Linked DNA regions of Oryzias latipes. The protein of the gene in region 3 purifies or fractionates together with the protein of the main gene of each other region. This does not show direct contact. Links are inferred from orthologs where the notes say so. Each region holds a gene or a part of one and is shown on either strand. Other genes may lie near its edges.

Evidence for each region.
Region 1: the proteins of stub1 (region 3) and hspbp1 purify together in Homo sapiens (affinity purification with western blotting; 4 studies listed by BioGRID and IntAct, with this or other methods). This does not show direct contact. The link is inferred for Oryzias latipes from reciprocal best matches to the Homo sapiens genes STUB1 and HSPBP1.
Region 2: the proteins of stub1 (region 3) and pparg purify together in Homo sapiens (affinity purification with western blotting; 3 studies listed by BioGRID). This does not show direct contact. The link is inferred for Oryzias latipes from reciprocal best matches to the Homo sapiens genes STUB1 and PPARG.
Region 4: the proteins of stub1 (region 3) and dnajc13 purify together in Homo sapiens (affinity purification with mass spectrometry; 3 studies listed by BioGRID and IntAct, with this or other methods). This does not show direct contact. The link is inferred for Oryzias latipes from reciprocal best matches to the Homo sapiens genes STUB1 and DNAJC13.
Region 5: the proteins of stub1 (region 3) and hif1a purify together in Homo sapiens (affinity purification with western blotting; 3 studies listed by BioGRID, with this or other methods). This does not show direct contact. The link is inferred for Oryzias latipes from reciprocal best matches to the Homo sapiens genes STUB1 and HIF1A.
Region 6: the proteins of stub1 (region 3) and yap1 purify together in Homo sapiens (affinity purification with mass spectrometry; 3 studies listed by BioGRID and IntAct, with this or other methods). This does not show direct contact. The link is inferred for Oryzias latipes from reciprocal best matches to the Homo sapiens genes STUB1 and YAP1.
Region 7: the proteins of stub1 (region 3) and nadsyn1 purify together in Homo sapiens (co-immunoprecipitation; 3 studies listed by BioGRID and IntAct, with this or other methods). This does not show direct contact. The link is inferred for Oryzias latipes from reciprocal best matches to the Homo sapiens genes STUB1 and NADSYN1.

The regions. Positions count from the first base shown.
Region 1 is NC_019866.2:14,512,615-14,516,855, forward strand, and holds the start of hspbp1 (hsp70-binding protein 1), read right to left. Parts: upstream 2,801-4,241; 5' UTR 2,677-2,800; exon of another isoform or gene 2,673-2,676; intron 2,478-2,672; exon of another isoform or gene 2,473-2,477; 5' UTR 2,453-2,472; coding exon 2,330-2,452; intron 1,766-2,329; coding exon 1,549-1,765; intron 1,448-1,548; coding exon 1,223-1,447; intron 1,113-1,222; coding exon 957-1,112; intron 1-956. Other genes in the region: tufm (elongation factor Tu, mitochondrial), read left to right, coding at 3,482-3,518. UniProt on the Homo sapiens protein: Inhibits HSPA1A chaperone activity by changing the conformation of the ATP-binding domain of HSPA1A and interfering with ATP binding. Interferes with ubiquitination mediated by STUB1 and inhibits chaperone-assisted degradation of immature CFTR.
Region 2 is NC_019863.2:9,220,182-9,223,681, forward strand, and holds part of pparg (peroxisome proliferator-activated receptor gamma), read right to left. Parts: intron 1,079-3,500; coding exon 940-1,078; intron 1-939. UniProt on the Homo sapiens protein: Nuclear receptor that binds peroxisome proliferators such as hypolipidemic drugs and fatty acids.
Region 3 is NC_019877.2:8,950,354-8,954,361, reverse strand, and holds the end of stub1 (E3 ubiquitin-protein ligase CHIP), read left to right. Parts: intron 1-94; coding exon 95-260; intron 261-348; coding exon 349-424; intron 425-534; coding exon 535-591; intron 592-1,299; coding exon 1,300-1,416; intron 1,417-1,990; coding exon 1,991-2,116; 3' UTR 2,117-3,508; downstream 3,509-4,008. UniProt on the Homo sapiens protein: E3 ubiquitin-protein ligase which targets misfolded chaperone substrates towards proteasomal degradation.
Region 4 is NC_019878.2:21,481,510-21,485,009, forward strand, and holds part of dnajc13 (dnaJ homolog subfamily C member 13), read right to left. Parts: coding exon 3,416-3,500; intron 2,541-3,415; coding exon 2,154-2,540; intron 2,078-2,153; coding exon 1,964-2,077; intron 1,893-1,963; coding exon 1,776-1,892; intron 777-1,775; coding exon 599-776; intron 525-598; coding exon 433-524; intron 363-432; coding exon 263-362; intron 191-262; coding exon 116-190; intron 29-115; coding exon 1-28.
Region 5 is NC_019880.2:11,961,647-11,965,146, forward strand, and holds part of hif1a (hypoxia-inducible factor 1-alpha), read right to left. Parts: intron 2,186-3,500; coding exon 1,995-2,185; intron 1,726-1,994; coding exon 1,574-1,725; intron 1,431-1,573; coding exon 1,346-1,430; intron 998-1,345; coding exon 888-997; intron 439-887; coding exon 236-438; intron 64-235; coding exon 1-63.
Region 6 is NC_019871.2:6,488,494-6,492,653, forward strand, and holds the start of yap1 (transcriptional coactivator YAP1), read left to right. Parts: upstream 1-1,360; 5' UTR 1,361-1,956; coding exon 1,957-2,157; intron 2,158-3,257; coding exon 3,258-3,493; intron 3,494-4,160. UniProt on the Homo sapiens protein: Transcriptional regulator with dual roles as a coactivator and corepressor. Critical downstream regulatory target in the Hippo signaling pathway, crucial for organ size control and tumor suppression by restricting proliferation and promoting apoptosis.
Region 7 is NC_019861.2:38,222,793-38,226,292, reverse strand, and holds part of nadsyn1 (glutamine-dependent NAD(+) synthetase), read left to right. Parts: intron 1-3,181; coding exon 3,182-3,313; intron 3,314-3,386; coding exon 3,387-3,458; intron 3,459-3,500. UniProt on the Homo sapiens protein: Catalyzes the final step of the nicotinamide adenine dinucleotide (NAD) de novo synthesis pathway, the ATP-dependent amidation of deamido-NAD using L-glutamine as a nitrogen source.

The DNA.
Region 1 (4,241 bases), on a different chromosome or scaffold from region 3:
ACCTGTGAATTGACTACCTAAAACTGCACGCTCCCGTCTCTGAGAAAGAGCGCGCAGATGCGGGGACGGGATGTGTGAGGGAGAAAGCAGAGGGTGGGGGTGAGGTGTTGTGGGGACAGGCAGCAGGTGAATCGCGCAGGGATTGTAATAACGTAAAACCCACTGCCCGTCACTCACTGCAGCGTGTGAGTGTGTGTTTGGCTCCGCGTCTGCATGTGATCAGTCTGTCTCACATCTACAGAACATTCAGACCTACGATCACGTTTAAAGTCTCAACGCCTGAACGAAGCAGAAACTCACCACGTATCAACCAGACTAGACCATCAGCAAAACTACCACGAGAAATACTCACCATTTATTAGCAACAGAATAACAATGTTATTAAAAAGAATCCACAGACTTATTGTACTTTAAAAATGTTGAAATTAAATCAAATGCACACATTCATTTGTATATTTAGTTTTAAACAAATTGTCGCGGACTGAGTTGGATGGCTGTTGGGTCGCGTTAAAAGTTCTGGAGTTCATTGAACGCGTCAAGCAGAGATCTGATTGGCTCTCAGTTCTGTCGCTCAGCCTGTTGTTAGGTAGTTTGGACCAATGGGGTTCAGCTATGGGCCGAATAAGGGTAATGGGAGGGCTGCAGCGGGAGGGGGGAATATAAAGTTGGGAGACGCGCTCTCGTCTCGGCGGGAGAGATTCAGGAGTTGCTGAATTAATTGCACGGCGTTTGTTGCGGTCTGCAGTAATCGGAATAAAGAACTTTAAAAGAGGTTAAGTCTCCGTGCCTCACTGTGGGGAAGGGACACTACATTATTGTATGGCTCTTTCGAAATTACATTTCAAAATATGTGGCATTTATGGCTCTCTTGGCCAAAAAGGTTCCCGACCCCTGTTCTAAACTGTAATGAGCAGGTGAGTAAAGGGGATGGTTTAGGTGCTTTTCCTTATTCATACCTTTCTGGTCAGGGTGTGAGGTCAACAGGTTTAGCAGGAGGAAAGCAGATTTGGTCCGGAGCTTCTCGTTTTCAGACTGCATGCCTCTCATCAGCACCGAGAATCCATCATGAGCCAAAAAGGCCTGAAGCCCGGCTTCCTGCTCTCGAACCAAACCTGCAGTCAAACAGCGTTACACCGTTGGACAACTGTGTGGAGCTCAACATCACTCATTTAGAAAGACACACTTAGAGCAGCTTTGGTCAGAGTGCCAGACAGGAACTTACATGAGACCGCATAAAGTGCTTTGACCCTGACGGTGGGGTTCGGGTCAGAATCCGTTAGTTGAAGCAACTTTGGAAGAGTCCCAATACTGAGCAGGTGGTCCTGAAGCTGTGGCATGTTCTGAGCACAGGAGGCAATGAGCTCAGCAGCACGCCACCTCAGCCCGCTCTGGACGTGACACAAATACCGAGAGACACACAATTCTAGTCCACCAAGCACCATCAGATCTGTAAAAAACAGAGAAGAGATGAATTAATTTAGTCCATACCATCTGGAATCATGTCAACATCTGCTCTCACTATCATTTCCAAAAGCGATTATCACAAACCTCTAGCATTATCCAGGTTCTCGCACAACTCTGACAGCATCTCAAAGGCCGACTCCCGCTCGTCCTCATCATCTTCGTCCCTCATTTCTTCTCCATTTTCATCCTTGTCACCCACATTTTCTTTACGCAGGACGGACAAGCACTGCTTTATTTGTTCTACTTCATCCAGCTGGCCTTTACAGACTTCAGAAAGCGCTTCCCGCAGCCACGTTTTTCTCTGAACCCAAAGCAAAGGCAGTTGTTGGTCAAAAACAAAGTCCCCAATGGCAAAAAATACAAATAAAAACAAGGACTGCGCATGAAACTAAATCTTAAAATGTAACCGTTTACAAAAGTAAACGGGAAAGTTGTTATAGGTCAGATTTAACAAAAATGTTTAAGGTCATACTTAACAAAAAATGAATCACAAGGGAACAGTATCAAACATTGTATCGGGTAAAGAAAGAATTGATTTAACTCTTTCTTAAATTTAAGAACATGCATGCCATTTAAAAATTCTTAATAGCATTTTACTTCATTCCGATAAATAACTGTTTTTTCCACTAAAGAAGTTGAAGTAGTGTCACATATAAAAGGTTGGGTTTACTGCTTTTGAAACCAAACGATTTCAGAAAAGAACTCACAAATAAATACATGTTTCATTCAACTGAGACTAATTAAATCAATTGATCATATTATTTAGTATGAAATATCCTCCTCACATAAACATGGTGAAACAGTGTTTAAGAACACTAGGTTCAGGACTGTAGTGAATTGAAATTCCCTAAACAAGCAGGTTTACCTCCTCTGACATTGGCTGAACTGGAGTTGGAGCCTCTGCTGCTGGTCCAGCATCTACTGCCATCTGTAAAACCCCCTGAAGATTCCGGGGATATCTCCTGCCGTTCTGTTCGCCTTCCGACATGTCTTCTTCTGTCCTCACAGCTGTGCAGACAAAACAGAACAATTAACAAATATGTCCTGCGAAATGGTAATACATGTCTTCAACAAAACAGGCTATCTCTGGGAGCCTATTTTAATTATTTAGCTTACAAGCTAGTTCTGTTCTGACAAAAGCACTGGTCGCTAAGTAAGACAAAAATGAAAAGCACATCAACAACAAACTAGCTGTAAAAAAAACTTACTTACGTCCTATTCTGCTTTAGCTCTAATGTCCAGTGATCTTTCTGAATGAAGGAGTTGTTGCCGCAAGTCCAACCTTAAAAACACAAACACGTGAACACACTGGAAGGTTCTAGGCAGCACCCGTTGACGCATGCGCACTCTTTTTTTTTTACCGTAAAACACCAAAAGAGTCCATGGGAAAAATATCTTTGTCAGGTGTCTTTGTCTAATTTTTTTAAATTAAATTTTTTGTCCTAAGATTAACGTTTTTTACTGTACTAATTTGAAAATGTAAGTTCAATCTTACGTTAAATTACATCATAATTAATGTCAAAATTATATTGAAGTATTAACATGATTACGGTATAGAGACTTCCGATTGAGGTTATACACCCAAAGAGCATCAGTGAAATTGAAATTAGTATCTTCGCAATCTACTATGTGCATTCATACACTGAACTTGAAGAAATGTTTTTGGATTAAAACTAAGCAACCTTATTCTCGCAGGAAAAAAAATGTATGACTTTTTTATTCATACCTTTGTTCTAAAATAAAAAATATATAAAAATAAATCAAAAAAATAAAACGTAGACTCAAATGTTACAAACATTTTTTTCATCATCGACTTACAAATATAGACATCTGGCAGTGCAGTACATATATCAATAAAAAAAATAATAATAAGAAGAAGACATTTAATCTTAATTGATTTGTGTAAATAGTTGATTTTGGTTATACATCTACTGACGACGGTTGATCGAGTAAAGAGGAAGTTAGGTCCGTCAAGTCTCTTGATGTCGGAAGTCTTTGGTCACTGCCACCGTCCAAGATGGCTGCGCTTGTAGGGCTTCGAGCGTGTTTCTCCGGTAAAATAGTTCAATTGTTTTCAGTTGTATGAATTTTTCTGTTTCGAGGGAGCTAGTAGGATTAAAGCAACGTGCTTTTCTGTTTATTATCATAAAATCTTTGAATAAATGACTTTTAAAAGAACACGATGCTGCTGCTGTGATAGCAGTGCAAGGTCACGTTACCAAGAATAATGAGGGTTAGCTAACCACAGGGTTGACAGGAAAAAATAACATTTATGATACATGTTATCAATTTAAACTTTGTTTTTACGAATAAAAAACTATTTCGGTTGCAGAATCTCACTGGAAAGAGTGTATCCAGCCTTCAAACCTGGTTGGAATTGTATGTTTGACATCTTCATCATGTTAGCTAAAGAAAGCCTGTGTTAAATTGCTTTAGTTTTGTATACAATTTTTTATTTCCTCCAATATTTGTTTAATTCAAGATGCTGACTTTATTTGCACAAGCCAAATAGAAACCTGTGTTGTGTAGGCCAGTGGTTCTCAACCTTGTTTTCAATAATGTACCCCATATATTTCACAATTTTTTCATGTTTTTCGTCTTTAAAGTGTCCGCCATAAACAGGGCGTGTTTATTTGTTGACATTTATCATTTTTACAAAAGTACCAAAAACTCAAGAAACCTTCAAATTAAAAGAGTACTCGTATTTTTTTATTTTTTTTGTCTGTCAGCAAACAACACAACAATGTAATACACAGACATGTATTTGGGGGGAAAAG
Region 2 (3,500 bases), on a different chromosome or scaffold from region 3:
ACAATTATGAACCAAAAATATCTTTAAAGTGTTTAAGCGATGTATTTATTTTTTTACCCCTGGTGTTCATATTAGGTATCTGTGTTTTGTCCTTTACCAAAGCTGCATTCTGGAACCAATATCTGAGCTGATTTCATGGCAAAAATCTTATTAGTACACACAACTGATGTTAAAATCGAATGTAGCAAATGATTGATGAAATCGTCTGTGCAAGTCAAAACATCTAGGCCAATATTGATACAGCTAATTTGATTAATCATGATGCATTTTCATGTAAAAGGATTTTGGTTTTCCTTGGAATCCAGTTTTATTCATAAGGATACTAACTAACTAAATACAGTGATTGAAATAAAATTAATGGAAAAATCCTTCCTCGCACAGAGTTGAGTTCGTACCGAGCATTTAAATAGAGTTATCTCATGCAGAATAAAGCCATAAACAAAAAAAGTTTCTATTTGATGGACAACAAATTTGTATTTAGATCGTGCTAATGGGAGGGAAGTACAGTTAAAGCTCTGATAACGTCTTGAGAGCGAAAAAAACAACAACAAAGACACCACACAAGGCGATGTGCTACATGTACACCACACCCCATAGTGTAAAGAGGCAGGTGTGTGGTCAGAAGTGTGTGTGCTGTTCTCAGAGGACCTAAGAGGCAGAGCAGTTGTTCTGTAAATGTTTCCTAGACCACAACTTCAAAGTTGTGTTTTTTTTAACCTGCATCTGCTTATTTCTGGTGAGCATGAGTGTGGGGTTTTGTTCCTGTCAAGAGCATATAGGTGTGACAATTATGACACTCAAATGCTGAGAAACTTTGACTTTTTTTTTTTCTCAGACCGACGGTTATTGTTTTACTTTAGGACGTGAGATTGCTTTACGCAAGAAGAACAAACACACAAAAACAGAATCTGCACATGAGGAGCAACAACAGCATCTTACCGTTATGCGACATGCCGACGTTGAGGCACTTCTGGAAACGACAGTATTGGCATTTGTTGCGGGACTTCTTGTGAATGCGACAGTGAAGGTCGCAGTGATCGTACACCAACTTTAACCTAATAGTGCGCCTGAAGAAACCCTACAAAGGAGAAAAAAGAAAAATGGTCACTATAGATGCAATTCAACTTTTTTTTTACACTCTTGCAACTCAAAAGATTTGCTTTTAGAACCCTGTTCGTTCTCCATCAGCACTCTGCAAAGCAATGTCTGAATCTCATAAGAAATGAATAAAAAAAGTCCAGATTTTATTTTTAATTATGAATCCATCTCAAGCAAAGTGTGGTAAATGAAAGCAGATTACTTTTGGGTGGAACTGCACATGAGTGAAGTTGACTTTAGGACCAAGAAGCCATAAGATTGTTACTTATCGCAGCCATTAGCTCTGTATACACGGTCAAACTCCTAATGAACACATGCAGGTACACTCTTTTTCTTTTTTTTTGATGACTGCGCCGTCTGAGCTGATTGTAGAATCTAATCACCACAACCTATTGAAGCCTAAATATAAATAAAGACTTAAAAGGGAATTGCATAAACATTCCCACCTGAACTCTGTATTTCTTTTATGTTCAACCTTTTTTTTTTTTGCAGACATATATAAATATATTTTTCAAATTGTAGGTTATTTACAGAAGGAGGAAGTTAAAGAGGGTCAAGGCTCCTCCTCATTAAAGAATGTTTTTCTGTTTTAAAACAATTCAGGGATTGCCTGCTTGGCTGACCCCTCTCTTCTGGTGAGTCTCCCCTGAGACGTGAGCAGAACAATAACCACTGTATTCCCCGTACCTTACTGTGTACAGCCTTTGAAGATACAGTACGAGGAGACTTGAAAACAGAAACTCCTTCAACTGCAGCTACCAAAATAGTGGAAAAAAGGCACAGTTTGTTACTCTCTTTGTTGTCAATTATTTGTACTTGGGAATGTATAAAGATTTCTTCCAATAGGTTTGAAAATTTGACTTTTTTTTTTACTGAAAAATACACTTTTTTGTGTATTTTGTGTGTCTTCTGTGTCTTTTGTGACCAAAAACATTTGGCGGTTAGCAGTTGAAGCGACGAAAGCTCTTCTTTTTATACCATTTTTCAAATTTGTTTAGTGCTTAAAAATGTGTTTTGGGGAAAAATTCTGCAAATATTATGTCAGTAAATGTGAGTCTCAAGAATTATGAGATCATGTGTTGTTGCCTCTTTGTAATCATATTAAAAAAAAACTGGAATGTCACTGATCTTTGAATAGAAATGGAATTCTAGGTAAAAACACAGATAGATATTTTAAGACAACTCTGTCACTTTTAATATCAAATATAAGTTTGTGACATTTTTGAGACACAACAGAAAATCCTTTGATTCAGGTGAAGACTCTGACAGATTGAACTTTTTTCTGTTAATCATAGTGAACTTTAAAACAGATTTCTCCAAAAAAGTCACTTACACTTAATATTTAGGAATTTTTTCATCTCTTAGTAATTTGAATAAATCCATTTAGTAAAAGTTGCACTGAGAAAAAAAGCCTTCCAGTTCATTCACTTTTCTAAATTTTCTTTCTTTTTTAAAAATGAATGAAAGAAAATAGAGTTGATATAATATAGAATATTTCAATCATTATGCTTTTAGTTGGATGATTAGATCTTGCAACTAACTGAAACGCATCTTCAAAAGTGTTAAATTACTTAAGACATATAACAAAAAAAAACAAAAAAAAAAAAATAAAACAAAAAGACATAACAAATAGCTTATTAAATGTGAGTATGGTCAAACATGCACCCTAAACTTGAACGCTCTATGACAACTTTAAAATGATAAAGTATGTCAAAAATACTTTTAACGCTGCTTTAAGAAAAAAGAGAGTATCTATTAGACACTAAGTTCTTTATAAAGTTAGCCTTCTTTTGGTAAATGCTGCCTTATGGAAGAAATGATTGGACTTAATAGTATTACAATATTCAATCTGCTGCAGGTTTGGTCTTTTATGAAGAAGAAAAAAGACACCTTCTTCCAATAAATAATTATGGCATGAATGTTTAATTGGACTGTGGTTTATATTGCTAAATTCCTCGATGGCTACTCACTAAAGTGAAGCTTCAGCACAATTTCAATCAGGAAGATCCAACTCATTTACAGATGTCCTGGGTTGTTCCGTCACTCGTCCTTAGCAATTAGCCCTTCACTTTTAAACGAATTGCTTTCTTCTCAGCCAATCATAGTCATATTTTTGTAAATTCATGATTGTGTGTCTCTCTCCCTGCTTTCTAGATGGTCCCCCGGCCCTCCTCCATCCTAGGAGAGATGCTTTGGAATGGTTTGGCCTCTGACCACCATCAGCGTCTAGGCTCTAAGGTCAGAGTTCAACCTAAGCACGGATCACCCCAGAGCCTCACCGCTAAAGAATAAGGACATTATTAATTTATATTTTCCTCTTTATTTGTACTATTCCAAAAATAAGATTTTACTCCACACATACATTTCTAAGCCCTAATTAAACAGACATTGTACTTTTCTTA
Region 3 (4,008 bases):
TTCTGCAGCTTTTATTCAACAACGAAACACGGAAGGAAAAGATTTGGTCAGCAGTTCATTGACTTATTTGTCAACCTTCCCATTGTTTTTACAGCTTATAACTTGGCGAAAGAACAGAGGCTGAATTTTGGAGACGACATTCCCAGTGCTTTACGCATCGCCAAGAAAAAACGCTGGAACAGCATTGAGGAGAAACGCATCAACCAGGAGAACGAGTTACACGCTTATCTGACCAAACTCATTCTGGCTGAGAAGGAAAGGTGAGCTCTCCTGGGAAAAATCTACTTATTTCAATTATTGCTTTTTTAAAATCTGCAATCCATATCACCATAACTTAATATTTTAAAGAGAGCTGGGTGATTACAAAGAAAAACACGATGACAATCAGAACGGAAGTGATGCTGCCAAGATCGCGTCAAGACATGTAAGCTTTTACATTTACTCTATTTAGCCACAGCAGCTGTTCCACATTTTTTGACATGTCTGATCTTCTTGATTTATTGATTTACTTTTATCATCCTGTGACCTGCAAAGGACAAATATTTATTGGATATGGAAGAGCTCTTCTCGCAAGTTGACGAAAAAAGAAAAGTGAGTATCAAAAGTCGTTTTTTTTTGGATCCTTCTGTGAAATATTAATGTTTTTTTAAGTTAGATATTGAAAATCCAGGTGACATTTATCTGTATATGCTAACATGACACTTTCATTGCTACCATAAAAGCACAATTAGAAACCATTAATGCAAATGTTTGCTGCTGATCTCTGTTTCTTTATTTTCAACTGACATCGATATCACTGATAAAATGATGTAATGCTGTAATGCTTAGTTTGTTTCTATGGTTACGGTGTGCGTTTCTAATATAGCTAAATGTTATCTGCAAGGATAAAAGCATGAGTTTTTGTTTTTTTGCCAGTAAGGTGTTTTTTTTTCTTCTGCTTCTAAAGTTCAGAGCCCAGAAAAGCTGCCAGTATGTTTTGACAACAAAGCAGTTTGGTTATAATTTAAATAATGATGCAGTTTCTTAGCAACCAAATATGGTTTTTGGTTTCTTTCACTGTTGTGTACCTTCTCTGGCAAACAAATGAGCTGTTTTTGAAATAAAACAGTAGAGGTTTAAAATGCTTGAGACAAATTTTCAAGGAACGGGCGGAAAAAACAGAAATCAATTTTTCTTTTACTTAAGTGGTTTTTTTGTTAAGTGTATGTAATGTTCAGAAATGAACAGATATGCTCTGAATCTTGTCAAAGAGGAGAGACGACTCTTTGCTTCACAATTAGTTTGATTGTTTCTTTTCAGAAGCGGGAGATCCCGGATTATCTGTGTGGAAAGATCAGTTTTGAGCTGATGAGAGAACCCTGCATCACACCAAGCGGAATCACGTATGATCGCAAAGACATCGAAGAGCACTTACAGGTAAAGGTTTTGTCCTCCAGCACTTTGATTGCTTCCAAATAGTTTTGTTTTCTAAATAAGCTATCGTTAAAGACCCACTCCGATCATCTTTTGATCTATTTTTAAGGCGTTCCCAGTGGTATTTTTAAAATAGTTATTATATTTTTAGGCAAAATCAGAAAAGCTGTCATTTTCTAGAATATAGTTTCTGCAGAGTGGCAGGAGTTCATTTGAAATGAGTTGTGGCCTGGAGTATTGCCAGGGGAGCAAGCCCACCCCCTCTCCCCCTTCCCGTGAGAGCTCAGAGCAGGAAGCCTTGACATCACAAAAAAACTATTTTTCAACAGTCTTCTCCTGATTCACAACGGTTTGAATAAAACAAATACTCAGAAATGTAATTTTTAGCTTCATTTTCTCCATATATGTCCTCCATCATCAGAAAAAGGCTACAAGAACAAGCTAAAAACACCAAATGCAATTTTCATCGGAGTGGGTCTTAGAGTAAACCTCCAGTGCAGTTGTGTGATTCCTCTCATTGACCCTCCATACATTTTGCATGTAGAGTACTGATGGATTCATGAAAACGTCTTTGCAGCGAGTCGGTCACTTCGACCCGGTCACCCGGAGCCCCCTGACCCAGGATCAGCTGATCCCTAACCTGGCTATGAAGGAAGTGATCGATGCCTTTATCCAGGAGAATGGTTGGGTGGAGGACTACTGAAAAAAGCACCTCCCATTTCTCCCTCATGCCCCCCACCTCCACCTAGTACTCAACACGAAGCCTGAACTACTGAAGGCTTTTGAAAACAGATCACCCCTTGCCTGGATATGCATCTTACACAAGCAGGAAAAGCCGCACTCTGGACTGCCCAGTGGGAGCCGTGGATCTCGGTTTGCCTCCTCCCTGCATTCAGTTTTTGCTGTAAAACTTCTTGCTGCAACTCTCCACAGCTCAGTGTTCATATGCTGCTCCCTTTAAGAACCCCTCTCTTTCTTTCTGTCCGTCTCTTTTAGTTTTTTAGTCTTTTTCCGCTCGACTCCTCTGTGATCAAATCGAGGCCATTTTCAGGTCTTTTTTGCACATTTCCTGCTTTTCTTTCCTGCTGTTTCTGAGTGCCACAGTTATTGAAAAGCTTTGATCTCAAGTGTTACACGTAAAACACTAATATTTAAAAAAAAACAAGTATAAAAAAATGATCATTTTTAGTTTTGAATTTGGCCTTTTTTTCCCCATTGAATGGCTTTTCATTTGTCCATTTGTTAAAGGTCAACTTATTTGTATAAAAGTTTGACATCAAATGCAACATTTTACTGCAAGACTTTTCAGGACCTTAACACAATTTATTTTCCTTTTCATATCAGTCACCCCATAACAGACAATTCAAATCAGCTGAATGTATAAATGATGTATTTCATAAATTTTTTTAAACAACGATTCAAGGTGTTTTGTTTTTGGTCCTTTTGGGGTAATCATGTCAAGCCTTGAACAGGAAGTGTGACGATGAAATGCTGCATTTAAAGAACGTTTTCATGTTGCTGGTTTGACGTTTAAAGCAGAAATCTTTCAACCTGGGAGCCACAGTGGTTTTCTCTGAATCCTGACCCGACTGTCCGTGTTCAGATGTTGAGGCTCACCTGGAATGACAGCCTACATTAACCACGTGAGCATCACCGCCCCTCCCCTCAGATTCAAGAAATGCTGGAAGACTTACGACCATCTTCTTTCCTCCATACCTCAGTCCAAGTGTTTGCGTGCTGGAGCTCCAGCATCCCTCTTTGTGAAACCCATTATGGTTCTGTGCTTGCCGTTGGCCGGTTTTCCAGCTGAATGTGTTTGTGGTTATACGGACTTGTTGGTTGTCGTTTTGTTTTGGGGTGCAGACATTGTACATAATTTGCTGGTCTTACTCAAAACGTTATTTCTTGATGAGATAGGTTTTTTTTTTCTGGAGAAATCCTAAAGCTTGAGAAACTGTATTAAATGTAGATATGTTGATAACAGAAATGCCTGATTCCGATTTCATTCATTTGTCCCCATTCAACCATAAATTTGGAGTATGTATGTTGTGATGTTTGATGCTAGTGGATCATTAAAAGAAATACAAAGAGTGAATGGAACTCCGCTGCTTATTTGACATTTAGTAATAAAAAGTTCATGGAAAACCTTTCTTTTTTTGTTTAATGAAGTGTCTAAATCAGAAGTGACTTAGAAACCTGTAATTGGCACTTTTTTGTTATTTAAATCCAGTCAACATGCCTTATTTCATGGATTGTTTGGTCACTAGGTGGCGCCGCTCTTCTAAAAAACATTTTAACTGACAAAACTTATTAAAACAATTCAAATATGCAAGAATCAGTTCCGATGGGATTCTGCAGCTGTAATAATTCCACCTATTCTGGCTCATTTAGACCCATATATTGAAAAATTGTTTCAAGAAAATTGATGAAAGTGAAAAGAGTGCAAAATCACAAAAGGAATGACTCTTACCAAACTTTAGAACATGGCAGACCCATTAAGACTGTAGTTTCTTATTTAAGCTATTTATTCTTCAGCTTTACAATTTTTTTTCTTGATTAAAATGTTGCTTTTTTGCTAAATGAAGTCGGTTTTGA
Region 4 (3,500 bases), on a different chromosome or scaffold from region 3:
AAGAGGTCCAGTAAATAGATGAGAGCACCTGCGGGACCAGAGAACTCGCATAAGTCTCCTTGCAAAAATTCAGACTCAAAACATTTCAGAAGACATGAATAACGTCTGCAATGACCTTTGGCCATAGCCTCTTTCACAATTTTTGTGTTTGACGTCAATGCGTGAAGGGTTTCCAACACCAACTGCCTGCCTGAAGGATGCAACAAAGTCAGTAAGTTAAACTATAAACCCTAAAAGACGATAAAACCGTGAAGTTTCTTACTGGAGGGGAGAGAATGCAGCAGCAGCAACAAGTTGGACAACACCATGGACTCTGCAATGTTCCCCACACATTCCTGGTTTGACGTCACAGTACTGACGACCTTAACGGGACACCAAAACCGTTACAATCTGCTGGGATACACAGACGCATCGAGAGGACATAAAACGCACCTCCAGAACCAGCTGCTGCACTCTGCCAGCTCCATGGACGCGCAGCAAAGAGAAGAGAAGCTTGAAATGGCCGATGCACTCGGTCTCTGAACCTGTGCGTAGAAAGAGATGACAGAGAGTCAGGATTCCTCTGTGGACCACCGCACTCTGGTGTCGTCTTCCCTACCAGGATTGTTCTTGATGACGTTGCGGAGAGCTTCTAAAGCCATCTCAGCGAAGCGAAGCCTCTCGGCGTGCTGCTGGGACTCCACCTTGTTGCTGTGGCTCATGGCCAGCAGCGTGTGGAGGTACTGGGCCTGGGAGCCAACGTAGTCCAGCAGACTGGCAGCAAACGCTTTGGGATACTAAATACAGACCAAAATGTACATTATTCATCATGCCTATTACCGTGTTTTCCAGAGTACAAGTCACATTTTTCAGTAAAGTTTAGCCAGGGGAGTGACTCATACTGAGGTGTGAGGTTGGAATTTATAGGCTCATATCTTTGCAACTTTCATACTAACAACCAGTAGAGGGCACTGCAGGTCAGTGTATCAGTGTTCACTACTGACAGCAATGCAGAAGAAGAAGAAGCGCCGTCCAAATCAAACATGAGAGGAATCTGATCATTCTCCTCCTGAACTTTATATTCTTGTTTCGAGTCATTTTCATTCTTGTTTTCATCTTTTCTTTCCTCGGAAAGTCATTAAACGCGGTTACAGAGACACGGAAGTGCCGCTGAGAGCGTCCGTCATTCAGACGCAGCTTCTGCTGCATAACCTCAGCATGCTGGGAGAGTCTCTGAATGATCTCATCCACCCCTTACCGATGCCTTTGTGGCGCTTTTCTAAATAAAACTGAAATCTCTGGACATCATCCGTATCATGTCAAGCCTTCCATGTAGCAGTGAGGCGAAATACGCTTGATGGTAGCTCCTCCCACACACACACACACACACAAACACAACGCAAGTGTCTAGTTTATGAACATGTTTATGGAGAAGTGTTGAGCAGAAAATTCGACGCACGTCGAAAGAGAGGCAGCTGATGTGAATTTCTTGCGTACATCATGCTTGGTGTGAATTCAGCATTATGCCGGGCTTGGCGGTGTTGTTTAGAAGCATCTCATTTTTCTCCCAAAAGTGCAACTTATATTTCAGTGCGACTCATATATGACTTTTTTCTTCTTTATTACGTCAATTTTTGCTCCAGTGACTTATACTCCTGAGCTACTTCTAGTAAAAAAAAAAAAGGTAAACCAAAATATAATATTCGATGAACCCAAAATGTTATTTTTGATGTCACTGTGTGCGTTTTTCTGATCATTCCACGACAAAAGCCAAAGATGAACAGAAGCCGACTTACCTCCAGGGGGAAGGTGGGCTGCTCGTTGTAGACTCGCACAAAGATCTCCCCCACTATGAGCTCCTTGCTGTGATCGCTGAACACAAAGTCTGCACCGAAGCTTTTATCATTTTCTCCCTGTGAAGGAAACGGACTTCTGAAAAAGACGACCCGAGACTGTAAATGCCCGTGTGAGCATTGAGTCTTACCCTCTTGATGTTCCCCTCCTGTTGTGCCTCCAGGAACTCCAGCAGCTCGGCTCGAGTTCCGTTGTTCCAGATCAGGTGGGGGTTTTCGGAGTTGCTGTTCAGCAGCTTCAAGACCTGAACAGACAGAAATAAGTGCTAAAAGCCGTTTTTCTCTTTACAGAAGTGGTTGCGGTCTTCTTGTTCAAATGACCTCAGCGGGAGTTCCCGTTCCCAGTTTCCTTGAGATGTACGGAGTGAGCATGGCAGCTAAGCTCTTGCGGATGGTGGGGTTCTCGGGAGGGGCGCCCTCCACGCCGTTGGTCTCTGCAACTGGGTTGTTGCCGTCTGGCGTGTGGGCGAAGCCTCCAAGACGGCTGAGAGCTACCAGGCTGAGCTTGGCTAAGTTGTTGGCCACCTCCTGCTGGTTTGTGTCCTGGTTGGCCTGAACGCCACTCTCCTCCAGGGTGTAGTCGTAGCCGAACAAGTAGCCTAGAAGGTGCCAGAGCACGCCGGCGTGGAAGAGATGGGTTTGCAGGAAGAAATCCACCGCAAAGGAGCTGACGCACTGAACTGCCAGAGCTGCAGTCTTTGGGAGAGTCTGGGGGGGAAGAAGAACAGGAAATGACTTTTAAGTGGACAACATTTAGCATCTTCATAGAAGATCTGGCACCTTCAAAGAAGGAAAATATTAAATTAGAGCCCTCTGCCACCGTTTCAATACACAGAATTATTTGAACTCATCTAATCAAATTATTAGATTATTTCAAATATTATTGACCTAAAAAATGAAAAAAGGTTAAAACTTTGGCAAAAACCTAAAGGTCAAAAGTAATAATGTAATAAAGAAAGGCTTATTTTATTGATGTCCTCTAACGTTTCTATTTTAGTTTGTACATTTTTATATGATCATATTGTAACAATAAGACCTCCAGCTTTGTAAAGTGTTCCTTCGCTGCTTTGCACTTCATCTCTTCCTGTTTTGCCGTCTCAGGGATTTCAGTGCAATGTTGCATGTTCTTCTAATTTTTTTTTTTTTATAGCGCACTGTGTTCTGCATTCGGATTGGCCGTAGACCTCGCCAATCTGTATAATGTCTCCTGGACAGAATGCGCTCAGTTTGACAAATTTACATAAATATCTGATTTTTGTCTTCATTTAAAAAAAACTTTACTTGCTTTTCTGCAAAGTGTTATTCTTTGAGTGTGTAAACAAGAGATAAGAGTGTGAAAATATTCATGTCTGTCAGGGAAAAGAGTAAGAAGTGTTTCGTTTTACAGCCTTTTGGCGTCTATAATTCTTCACAGATTTCACTAATTTTTAAAACGTAACCCTCACATCTTCAATAAAAGTATGATTTTTGGCAAAATAGTGTTTATAAAAAGCTAAAACATCCTCTTTAAAGATGGTTTCTCTAGTGTCTAAGTCATAATATGAAGACTTTTTCCTGTAGATGCACGAAGGCATCGCTCTTACCTTTCCGTAGTACAGGATGTGACAGAGGTCACGGATGATGTTGGGCTGTTCGATGATCTTTTCTCTGCACTCTTCAAACTGGGCT
Region 5 (3,500 bases), on a different chromosome or scaffold from region 3:
TAGTACTCATACACAGAGCGATTCATAAGGTCCTCTGGGTCATAACCCATGAGCTCAGTGATCCTGGATTAAACAAAACAAAGATTTTCTTTAGGTCTAGACTTTCAGTACCAGTACTGAACAGTAGGGGGCTCTGTGTGGTTACAAATGTTTTAAATGAGTTCACACTCTTAACCTTTTGCTCTTACTGTATTAAAAGGAGGAGGAGGAGACAAAACAACAAAAAAAAACCCACCTCTCATCACAGTAAGTGAACTTCATGTCCATTGTGTGGCGGCTGAGGAAGGTCTTGGTGTCCAAAGGGACCTCGATGTTGGAGGGGTGGGGGATTGGGTCACAGATCAGAACCAGGTACGGAACAGGAGGCTCTTTTTGTCCGTTACTGTTCTGCTCAGCTTCAACGCTGTTAACGTGCACGCGACCTGAGCAATGAAGCACCTGCAGGCACAAAACAGTAAAAACACATTCAGTATAGGACAACAAAATGCTTTCCTTTATTTTGGATACAAACATTTCACCTATCTATATTCTAAAAGAAAAAGAAAAAAAAAATCCCCTTCTTAAATTTACAATATATCAATACCAAATGTGTCGTTTATCTGCTTTGTGATCCTGCCAACTGAAGTGTGTTCAAAAGGCAATGAATGCAATCTCATTATGATTATTGTGTAACTTCATTATTATCTTATTACAGTCGCACTGATACAGAACAGGCCTCACATTAACCAGTCATGCAGCTTCTAGAAGGTTAAACAAATAAAACCTCACACTCAATAAAAACTAAACATGAAAAAAACCTGATAAACTTGACCACATGTCTATCACTATTGAAACTGACATTGACGTTCTGACCTAAAATATTGTTATGACTTGAAAATGACCCCAACCTTCCATGTAGCTGACTTGACATTGACGGTGCGCCCTCTGCTGGTGAGTGTACACTTCATTCGGAGGAAGAAGCTGCGCTCTGGATTTGGTTCTTTTGCTTTCTTGGAGCCTAAACACACAAGAAATGTTGAGCTTGAGTTGACAGAAGTAAACCAGAGTTACATTTCAAGCAGCTACAAAGAGGAGGCACTGAGCTACATACATACTTTCACTGGGGTGAAGACTGATTAAAAATGAGGGGGGGGGGAGGGGGGGGTTGGGCTGGAGGCAGCAAATCTGCTCCAAAAAGCTCATTTTAGTAAAAATCATTTTCTTAGCTAAATGTAATTAACATCAACACCCAGCAGCAAATCAAAGGTAAAACATGTTTGCTCATCACGATGTGAGAAAACTCTTCTTATCAACGTTACATCTGGGATGCAGGAGTTGGTTTTCCTCTGAAGTTGCTGCAGCTCACCTGTTCTGTACACCAACATCTCCCTAAGCTCCTCCTGGTCACAGGGATGTGTGTAGTCAAACACATTGTGCCCGGTCAGGTCAAACTGCAAAAAGATGTCAGCCGTGAACAACTGTGGAGCATCTCCATGCGTTCCTCTTTCTCGTAGGAAGTCTAGCCTTACTTCCAAACTTCCTGTTTGCTTCTTGAAATTTTCTACTGTCCTGTTTCTGATATTACGGGACTAACCTGTGCCAGCCCAAGGCATTTGTTGACATTCTCTGAGAGATAAATCATATCTCCGTCTTCAGACAGCACCATGAGAAAACCGTCCAGAGCCTTCATGTAGGAACTGTTGAATTTCATATCAAGCTCTGTTTCCTCTTCTTGTTTAGGCTCATCTGGTAAAATAACATGAAGTTGGGAAAGAGATTAGAGTGAGGCAGTGTTAATAAACAAGAAGAAATGTCAACTTTTTTGGGACACTAAGCAAACAAAAGCAGCCTGTAAGGTTGTGTGACTCAGTATGTTTAGAGCAAACAACTGGTTTACAGTTACCCATTTTTTCAAACTCCACGTGTTTAAATGTTATCATACTTTTCTTGATTTACCAAAACAATTGTTTTCAGTTTGCTCTGCTTTCCCGACAACATAAATTAAACATACTAACCGGTGCCGAGTAGTTTTCTCATACGCAGGTAACTTATGGTCAGTCTCATGACTGACGCTTTGTCCAGGCTGGAGCTGACGTTGTGAGGGAGCGGCAGCAGCTTGGCCAGCTCATAAAACACCTCCGACTCCTTCCCACGCCGGCTCCTCGCTGCATCCCTGGATTTCTCCTTCCTCCGCTCTGAACTCACTCTGCAGGGAAGAGGCGGTCAATCAGCAACAGCAATGCCAATCACCAGCTTTGATGAACTTCACACTAAGACAGACATCTGACCAGCCTTTATTCAGTCAGCCAAAGCTTTAGACTTCTAGGTAACTGACTGTACTTTCTGGTATTTTGCAATTTAATCAAAAATGATATGTATTTTAAAGCTTGGTTTATTAAGCTTCAGATGGAGACACAAGACAGATTAAGGTACATTTTCATGATTTAGGTTAACTTGGGCCAGCAGCTCCATCAGACTTTTATTTGCTTTTGATCCAATCTGAATTTGTTCATGCAATGAACCAAGAACAGATTAATGGGCTGTCTACATTGTACAAGCAAAATCTAAAGATTAACACACTAAATCTGATTCTCAAAGAGCATAAAGAAGCCAACATTTAAACTATCGAACTAAACAGGAATCCTGAAGATCCTTTTTGATTGTATGTTTACCTTACAAATACCGATTATCATCGACTACACCACTTCCAAAACATTTGAGGAGCCGCCCCTCAAGGACCACTGTTTGCAAAAAATAAATAAATAAATAAATAAATAAACCAAAAAAGAAAAAAAAAACTTAATTGTAACATCAAATATCACTTAAAAAAAAAAAAAAAAAAAAAAAAAAAAAAAAAAAAAAATCACAAATAAGTTGATTCTGTTTTCTTTTTCACAGCAGCACAACACGGTGCCGCTCCACTCCATTTTGATGCATCCACTTATAGACAAATAGATCTCTGTATGTCTTTGTTTTCCTGGTTGGAGACGGCATCTGGCTGAAAACTGTACGGCTAGATAGCTAGATATAGATAGAAAGATATTCCTCATCATTTTCGCTACACTGATATGGTTAGCTTGGGGTTGTGAGTGGCTGTAAGCTAGCTGGAGAGCATGTAAACAGATGGGGGGGGGTGGGGGCTTGTTTCATGCCACGGTTACAGGCCACAACTTATGAGGAGAGTCACTCTTGTCAGTCTGCAGAAACTGTTGTAGAAAACGACAGTCTCTTTTTTTGTGCCTAAAAACAACATAATCATTATTAAAAGACCACTAGGAACACTTTTGAAATGGATCAAAAATGATAAATGGTCTTTAGAAATTGTTATTTATATTGTAAGTGTTTACAATGGTATTTTTCTTTTTGGGTCAGCAACAATTTTTATTAAAAAAGAATGCAACTTAAGATGCTGAAAAATCAAGACCGATTATTGTTTAAAAACTACTACCGGTGGTTTTGGAATCAGAGCTTGGTAAAACAATGGCTTTAAAGGTATACTCAATTACAAACAATTATTACAC
Region 6 (4,160 bases), on a different chromosome or scaffold from region 3:
ATTGTATGGGACAGAGATGCTTCTGTATCTAGAGAAGGAGGTTCTTGACAAAATGATTTCTCAATGGAAGAGGGGCCTCATTAGCATAACAATTGTGGGAACTTGCATGGCTCTACTTTACATACAGTGTAAAAAGAAAAAAGAAAGAAGAGATTGTTCCATTTCCCTCAGCGATTGAAAGAAAATTGTTCTTTTCAAGATTCTTGGGAAAAATCGTGGCACCTTTTATGTTCGCAGCTATTTTCTAAAGTGGACTTTCTGCAGGCCTTTTCTGGATCAAATCTGTCTGTGTGTGAAGCACAGAGATGAGTTTAATTCAACAGATTTATCAGGATTTTAATGTCGCATTTGGGGGTTTTCTTCTTGTCAATAGGTCTGTTTAGTTGTACAGAGCAACCTCTGGTCAATATAGGCGTCTCATTTCAGGCTTCATTTTTGTCTATTAGAAATTTGTGTTTGACATCATAGATGGTCACTTCACTGTTTGTGTATGTTTATCGCTAATTATACAAAAAAAAAAATGTTCCTTAATGAAATAAAAAACAGACCATTTCAAAACACTCCCCTGTAAAACAAACTTATCATAAATGGAAAACAAAGTAGCATACGTCAACAAACAAGGGATCCTGGAAAACCTCTTAATTCAATGTTTAAAGTTCCTTTTTGTTTTTTTTTAGAGGGGAGTCGATAGAAAATGATCTGCCTCTGAAACCAGCTTCTACTGGTCATTTTAGGAACTGCAACATTTAATATTTTCAGGAATTCTTACATTTGGTAACTGGATATTTTAATTAAAAGCAAAAAAAAAAAAAAAAAAAGAAATCAAAGAACAAAGGGACCCTGGGAATCTACCTGTAGGGTGTAAATTTGTGGTTTTTCAAATTGGAGAGTCATTGGAAAATCCCCTACCTCTGAAACCAGCCTCTAGTGGTCATTTTAGGAACTGCAGTATTTAGTTCTTTAGGGTTTGTCTCACATTTGGTAACTGGACGCTTAAATTCAAAGCAAAAAACATTTTTTTAAACTGATCCTGGGAAGCACATCTGTAAATTTAGGGTCTAAATTTGTAGTTTCGTAGGAGGGGAGTCAATAGAAAACGACCTCCCTCTGATACCAGCCTCTAGTGGTCATTTTTGAAACTACAACATTTTCTTTTATTGTTATTTTAATATTTTCTTAAAGATCGAGGTAAATAGAAATAAAAGCTATATTTTATAATTTTGTTGTATACTTCATAATTGCTATTTTGTCGCAGTCTTAAGTTTAATGCTTTTTTGCAGGATAAATGGGTCTCAGGATAACTGCCTGTACCTTTAACTCATCCCAGTTGGAGTGTGGCCCCGCCCCCTTTGCGCAGACGTCCCATGAGCCATAAAGTTTTATGTCCTGCTCAAAGTTTAGGCTAACAGGAGGAAACTTTTTTTCGGGGCAGTGAGCGGCACAGATTTGCGCTGAGTCTGCCTTGGAAAATTCCTGGGGAGGAAAAAGTTTTGAAACTTTTCCGAAATTGGGAATGCCGGGACTTCTTTTTACTGCCTGAACTTTGGTGGTGTTACCTTTTTTTTTTTTTTTTTCACCAACTTTTGCGGCACTTTTTTTCTGAAGGGGGGGGGAGTAAAAGCTGGGTCCGGACGACAATACAGATTCCAGAGTGGAGCAGATATGCGCTTTGTTTTATGTACAAGTATGTCAGCTGGGAAAAGCCAAGGAAAGCGGCCTTTCTCTGCTGATTTTGACAGCTAACATCGTTCGAAAACAGCCTCGCGGCGGTCCGCTCGAAAAAGTAGACCGACGTTAAAAAGTCATGACTTTGCAAAACTTTTACTAAGTTTCGTTAGAAGTTAAAGATTTGACAAAAAAAAAAAAAAAGTTCGGGGACGGCTCGAACCGCCTTTGAAAAGTTTCGTAACTCAACGTTTTCGGGCCGCAAAGAGTTCGCAGAGCGCTTGTGGAACAATGGATCCGAGCCAGCACAACCCTCCTGTCGGACACCAGATCGTTCACGTTCGGGGCGACTCGGAAACGGACCTGGAGGCGCTTTTCAACGCCGTGATGAACCCCAAGGGCGCCGTCGTGCCCCAGTCCGTGCCCATGAGGATGAGGAAGCTGCCGGACTCCTTCTTCAAGCCCCCGGAGCCCAAGTCCCATTCCAGACAAGTAAGACCCCCCCCCTCCAATCCCGCGGGGGCCCCGGCCTAAACACGGCCACCTCTGCTCAAAACAACCGCTCCATCTAGTTTTTTTGTTAAAATCACGATTTTAGTCCGTTTTTTTAAATGTATTGTAAGCGCAAATTATAATTTTAATTAAAAGAAAATCATCAAAACATTAAAAAAAAGTTTAAACGTTTTGCAAGAAATGTGGATACATTTATTTGAACATAAAACTTTATTGCGAAACTTTGTTAATTCATTTATAAACAGTCATTTAAAGGTTAGTTAGATATACTTTTTATTTTATTTTAATACAGCTTCAATATAGAAATCATATGATGATTGGATTTACCCCATCAACCCCTCCCTCCCAATTTCCCCTTTCGACTGCTTACCGAAGTTTTGTAACTAGTGCGCATGCGCCGTGCAGGCCCTCTGGTGCCTTGGATTATCTCTGTGGGCCCTGACACAAGTTGGATGCACATCCAGATGACTCAACAGTGTTCAAGTCTGACTTAATGATCATTTTTTTTTCATTTTTTAGAGATTTTTCATTATGCTGCTGTTTTATAATACAGTCCAAAATGAATCACTGTGATACTCCTCATTGGGACAAACAAGATAAATAATGTCTTTGTCTTTGTCGCTAATAAACTAGATATAATGCAGAAGTACTGCAAATTTTTTTTTTGGGGGGGGGGGTCCTAGACAAACAAAAAACAAAAAAAAACTAAATAAAACCCCCACCTGCCAACTTTACTATTTGTTGTTTATCCCCCCCATATATGTTTACATTTCAAATAAAAAAGCTTGTCTTTATGCATTTATTTTTGAAAGCACGCATAAACTGTAATAAAAACTAGAAGAACTTCAGAAGAAGACTAAACAATTCCAAACCCAGCCCACAAAACATACAGTTTATAGATATTAGGAAACGAGACAAAACATGTATGTAGTCACAGATGATCATTCAATGAAAAATACAGTTTATAGGGGACTAAAGCAAGCAGGTCCTCTAAAGGTACATGAAAATATGTGACATTTAGTTATCAATGTATTGAAACAATGTAAAAAAATAAATAAAACATCTTCTTTGTAACTCAGGCTAGCACTGATGCTGGGAGTGGCGGCGTGCTCACCCCCCACCACGTACGCGCACACTCGTCTCCAGCTTCCCTGCAGCTGGGCGCCGTTTCGGGTGGCTCCCTGTCTGGGATGGCCTCAGCAGGCGCCTCCCCCCAACATCTCCGGCAGTCGTCCTACGAGATTCCCGACGACGTGCCCCTGCCGCCAGGCTGGGAGATGGCCAAGACCAGCTCCGGCCAGAGATACTTTCTCAAGTAAGTGTGCAATCTAACAGCGTGTGCATAAAAGTGAACGGGGCTGGAATCGAAAACGGGTGGACAGCAGACGGTAACATCTGGACACCAAAATGGGTCTCGTTTCTTCGTCGAGAGGAGTACGAACTCAAAGCCTGGAGGCATTTAAAAACTGTCAAGGTTCCATAACCTTTCTTCCAAAACATAATTTGCAGAATGCACCTGTTAATGGGACTCTAATGTTCCACCGATTAGGTTAACGCCCATAAAAAAACGGACCAAAGCGAGTCCAACAGATGTGGAACAGGTGTTGTTTTCGTCCAACCTGCAGAACATCTGTTGCACAGACTGTACATGCGAGGCACTGAATGCCCCATCGAGTGTGGCTTTCAAAATATCCCCGTGTGATGAGTTGCACCCAAACATTCAAAGAGTTCTCCCAGCAGATCTTTGATTTCTGCGCCAGGGTCCACGTGCAGCAAAGACCTCCAGAAATCCTTCTGGTTCTCTTTGGTTTCAAGATGGCGGCGGACATCATCGGGCCGGAAGCAGAAATCATACAACTAATCCTAACCCAAAAGTGTTCGGAATTGTAGCCAAAACTTCTACCAAGGCTTCAAATGAGAGAAATCGTAACTGTTGTCAGTTAAAATGAAAATTCTCTGAGCGATAATGGTGGACTTTCCAA
Region 7 (3,500 bases), on a different chromosome or scaffold from region 3:
CAGAAGCTTTCATCTGTGCTGATGCTCAAATCCGCATCCCATTTTGTTGTCGGAAGTGAAATATTATTATCTAAATTACATAAAAGTTTGTATATTTTGGAGAGAGTTCTATTCATTGAAAAATTAATCAGAGTGGTAACTACATCTGGTAGCTTTAAATCGTCGTCTTTAATTTTATACTTTTTAGTAATACTTGATTTAAGTTGCTGATATTCCAAGAAGTTATTTATTCCATGTTTGTCTTGAAGTTCCTGGGGAGTTATGAATCTTCTATTAATAATTACGTGCTCTAGTTGTTTTATGCCCCCTGCTTGCCAAGCTGGGAAGTGAATCATTTTTTTGTTAATAAGGATGTCCGGGTTGTTCCAGATGGGTGTCATTTTGCACGGTTGAATTGATGATTTTGATATTTTGAGAAATTCCCACCAGGCTGTTAAGGTGGCATTTATATTAATGCTTTTGAAACAATCCTGTTTTTTAACTGTTTGGCTAATAAATGGTAGCTGTGACAGGTTGATCTTTCCACATAACACCTGTTCCAAGTCTAACCATGAGTTGGTTTCTGGATTATTTTTTAACCATTTTAAGATATATTGTAATCTATTTGCAAGAAAGTATTTGTGGAAATTAGGTAGTTCTAATCCTCCACAGCTTTTTGCAGATTTTAAAGTTTTTAGACTAATTCTTGCAGGTTTGTTGTTCCATAGAAAGCTTGATATGGATGAGTCTAATGTTTTGAACCATTTTAATGGCGGTTGTGTGGGAATCATTGAGAAGAGATAATTAACTTTGGGTAAGATTTTCATTTTAACCGTGGCTACCTTGCCCATAAGGGACAGAGGCAGGTTGGTCCAGCGTGTTAGATCGTCCTGTATGTTTTTCAGTAATGGGGTGTGGTTTAGCTGCACCAGTTCTGATAGTTTGGGGGAAAAGTAGATACCCAGATATTTGATATTTCCTGTTTTAACTGGAATTGTGAGTCTTTGTTCCATATTCCTGTTGAGTGGTAATAAAACAGACTTATTCCAATTAATGGAATAGTCTGATATGGAGGAGAATTCATTTATGATCATTGCTGTTTCATTTACAGAATGTAAATTCCTTAAAAACAGTAATATGTCATCCACATAAAGACTAATTTTATGATGGCTGTGTTTGGTTTTTATTCCTATAATGCTCTCATTCTGTCTTATTGCTGCAGCTAAAGGCTCAATGAATATAGCAAAAAGAGAAGGAGAGAGTGGGCAGCCCTGTCTGGTTCCTCTTCCAAGAAAAAACCTGTTTGAAGTCTGTTTATTAGTTCTAACTGATGCATTGGGGTTGTGATATAATATTTTGATCCAATTGATGAATGCTTCTCCAAAACCAAACTTATGGAGGGCAGCAATAAGGAACTTCCAATTAACTCTGTCAAAGGCTTTTTCAGCATCCAGCGATAGTACCGTCATTTCCTGGTTTTTAATGGTGGCAAAGTCTATTATATTAACAAGTCTTCGGAGATTGTCATCCGAGTGTCTGCCTTTGATGAATCCAGTCTGGTCGAAGTGAATTATGTGAGGAGTGATTTTTTCTATTCTCTGTGCTAGTGCTTTGCAGATAATTTTTACATCTGCATTGATTAAAGAAATGGGGCGATAGCTTGAAGGACTAGTGGGATCTTTGTCTGGTTTTAGAAGAAGAATTATGTTGGCTGAGTTCATGTTAGGTGGCATTGATTGGCTCTCATTAATAGATGTGACAGTTTTATAAAATGTTGGTGCCAGTTGTTCCCAGAATTCTTTATAAAACTCAGCAGGAAAGCCGTCAGGCCCTGGTGCTTTACCATTGGGCATAAGTAACAGAGCTTCATGAAGTTCAGACGGCGAGAGCGGAGAGTCTAAGTTTGTGATTTGATCCTCATTTAGCCTGGGTAGGTTTACATTATTAAGAAATGAGTCAATACTTTGCTCTGACGGATTGATCTGCGGTGTGTACAGGTTTTTATAAAAGTTTTCAAATGCGTTATTAATTTTGACCGGGTCATGGGTGACATTTCCTGTTTGGTCCATAATAGAGGTGATTGATGATTTTTCTCTGTTAATTTTAAGCTGATTAGCCAGAAATTTGCCAGATTTATTAGAGTTTTCAAATCTTTCAAGTCGTAGCCTTTGTATTTGAAATTGTGTTTGTTTATTAATGATGTCATTTAACTGCAGCTTTAAATTTTTCAGATCTCCCAGAATGTGTTCCTGTGCAGAAGCAGCAGAAGCAGTCTCCAGGGTTTTGATTTTATTTTCTAATTCTAATAAATCTGCTTTCTCTTTGCGTTTTTTGTGCGTTGAATAAGAAATGATTTTCCCTCTCATGACTGCCTTTGCTGTTTCCCAAAGAAGACACTGTGAAATATCGGGAGTATTGTTGAAGTCTAAGAAGGTTGCCCACTCTTTTTTAAAGAATTCAAGAAATTCCTGGTCCTTTAACAGAGACGTATTAAACCTCCAGGTTGTACCAGAGGGTGTGGATTTTTCCCTAGAAATGTTTACAGAGACTGGTGCGTGATCACTGATAATAATTGGATGGATATTGGAGCTTTGAATATTTTTTAAAAGAGAGTTACTGATTAATAAATAGTCTAAACGGGAGTGTGAATAGTGAACTGGAGAAAAAAAGGTGAACCCTTTAGTGTTTGGATGACATGAGCGCCACGCGTTGCAGAGACCCAGATCATTCATGTACTGCTTTAGAATACTTGCAGATCGCCATGTACGCTGGTTTGCTGCTGTGCTGAGTCTGTCAAGTTCAGGGTCCAAAACAAGGTTGAAGTCTCCTCCTATAATGATTGTGGAGTCAGAGTGGACTGAGAGTGAGGTGAAGAATCTGTGAAAGAAGGAAGAGTCGTCAAAATTAGGACCGTATACACTCGCTATACAAAAGTCCTTGTTCTGAATGGATATATTAATGATTACAAATCTGCCTTCTGGGTCAGTAACTGTATCCTTATGAGTAAAATTAAGATTTTTATTAATTAAAACAGCAACTCCTCGTTGTTTGGAGTTGTAACTGGCAGAGTATATAACTGGAAATTGTAAGCAGCACATAAGGTGATTCAAAGAATTCGATAAATGGGTCTCCTGCAGTAGAGCTATATAGAAACAGAACTGAATGGTTGCCGAGCGTCTAACCTTTGGGGGCGGGGTTTCAGACTGGGGGCATCTACTTGTACGCCAACCAGAGAGGCTGCGACGGGGACCGGGTCTACTATGACGGCTGTGCCATGGTGGCTGTGAACGGGGACGTGGTTGCTCGGGGCGACCAGTTTTCCCTGGACGACGTGGTGAGTCTGCAGGCAGCTGTTGCCGTGGCGACCGCAGCTGCTCGTCAGAATCACCTGAGCGTTTGTGTTCCAGGAAGTGGTGACGGCCACTCTGGACCTGGAGGACGTCCGCAGCTACAGAGGAGAGCACCTCCAGCCCGCCATGGTGAGCTGCCAATCCAGACGCAGAGCCCCGCCCCCACCCTCA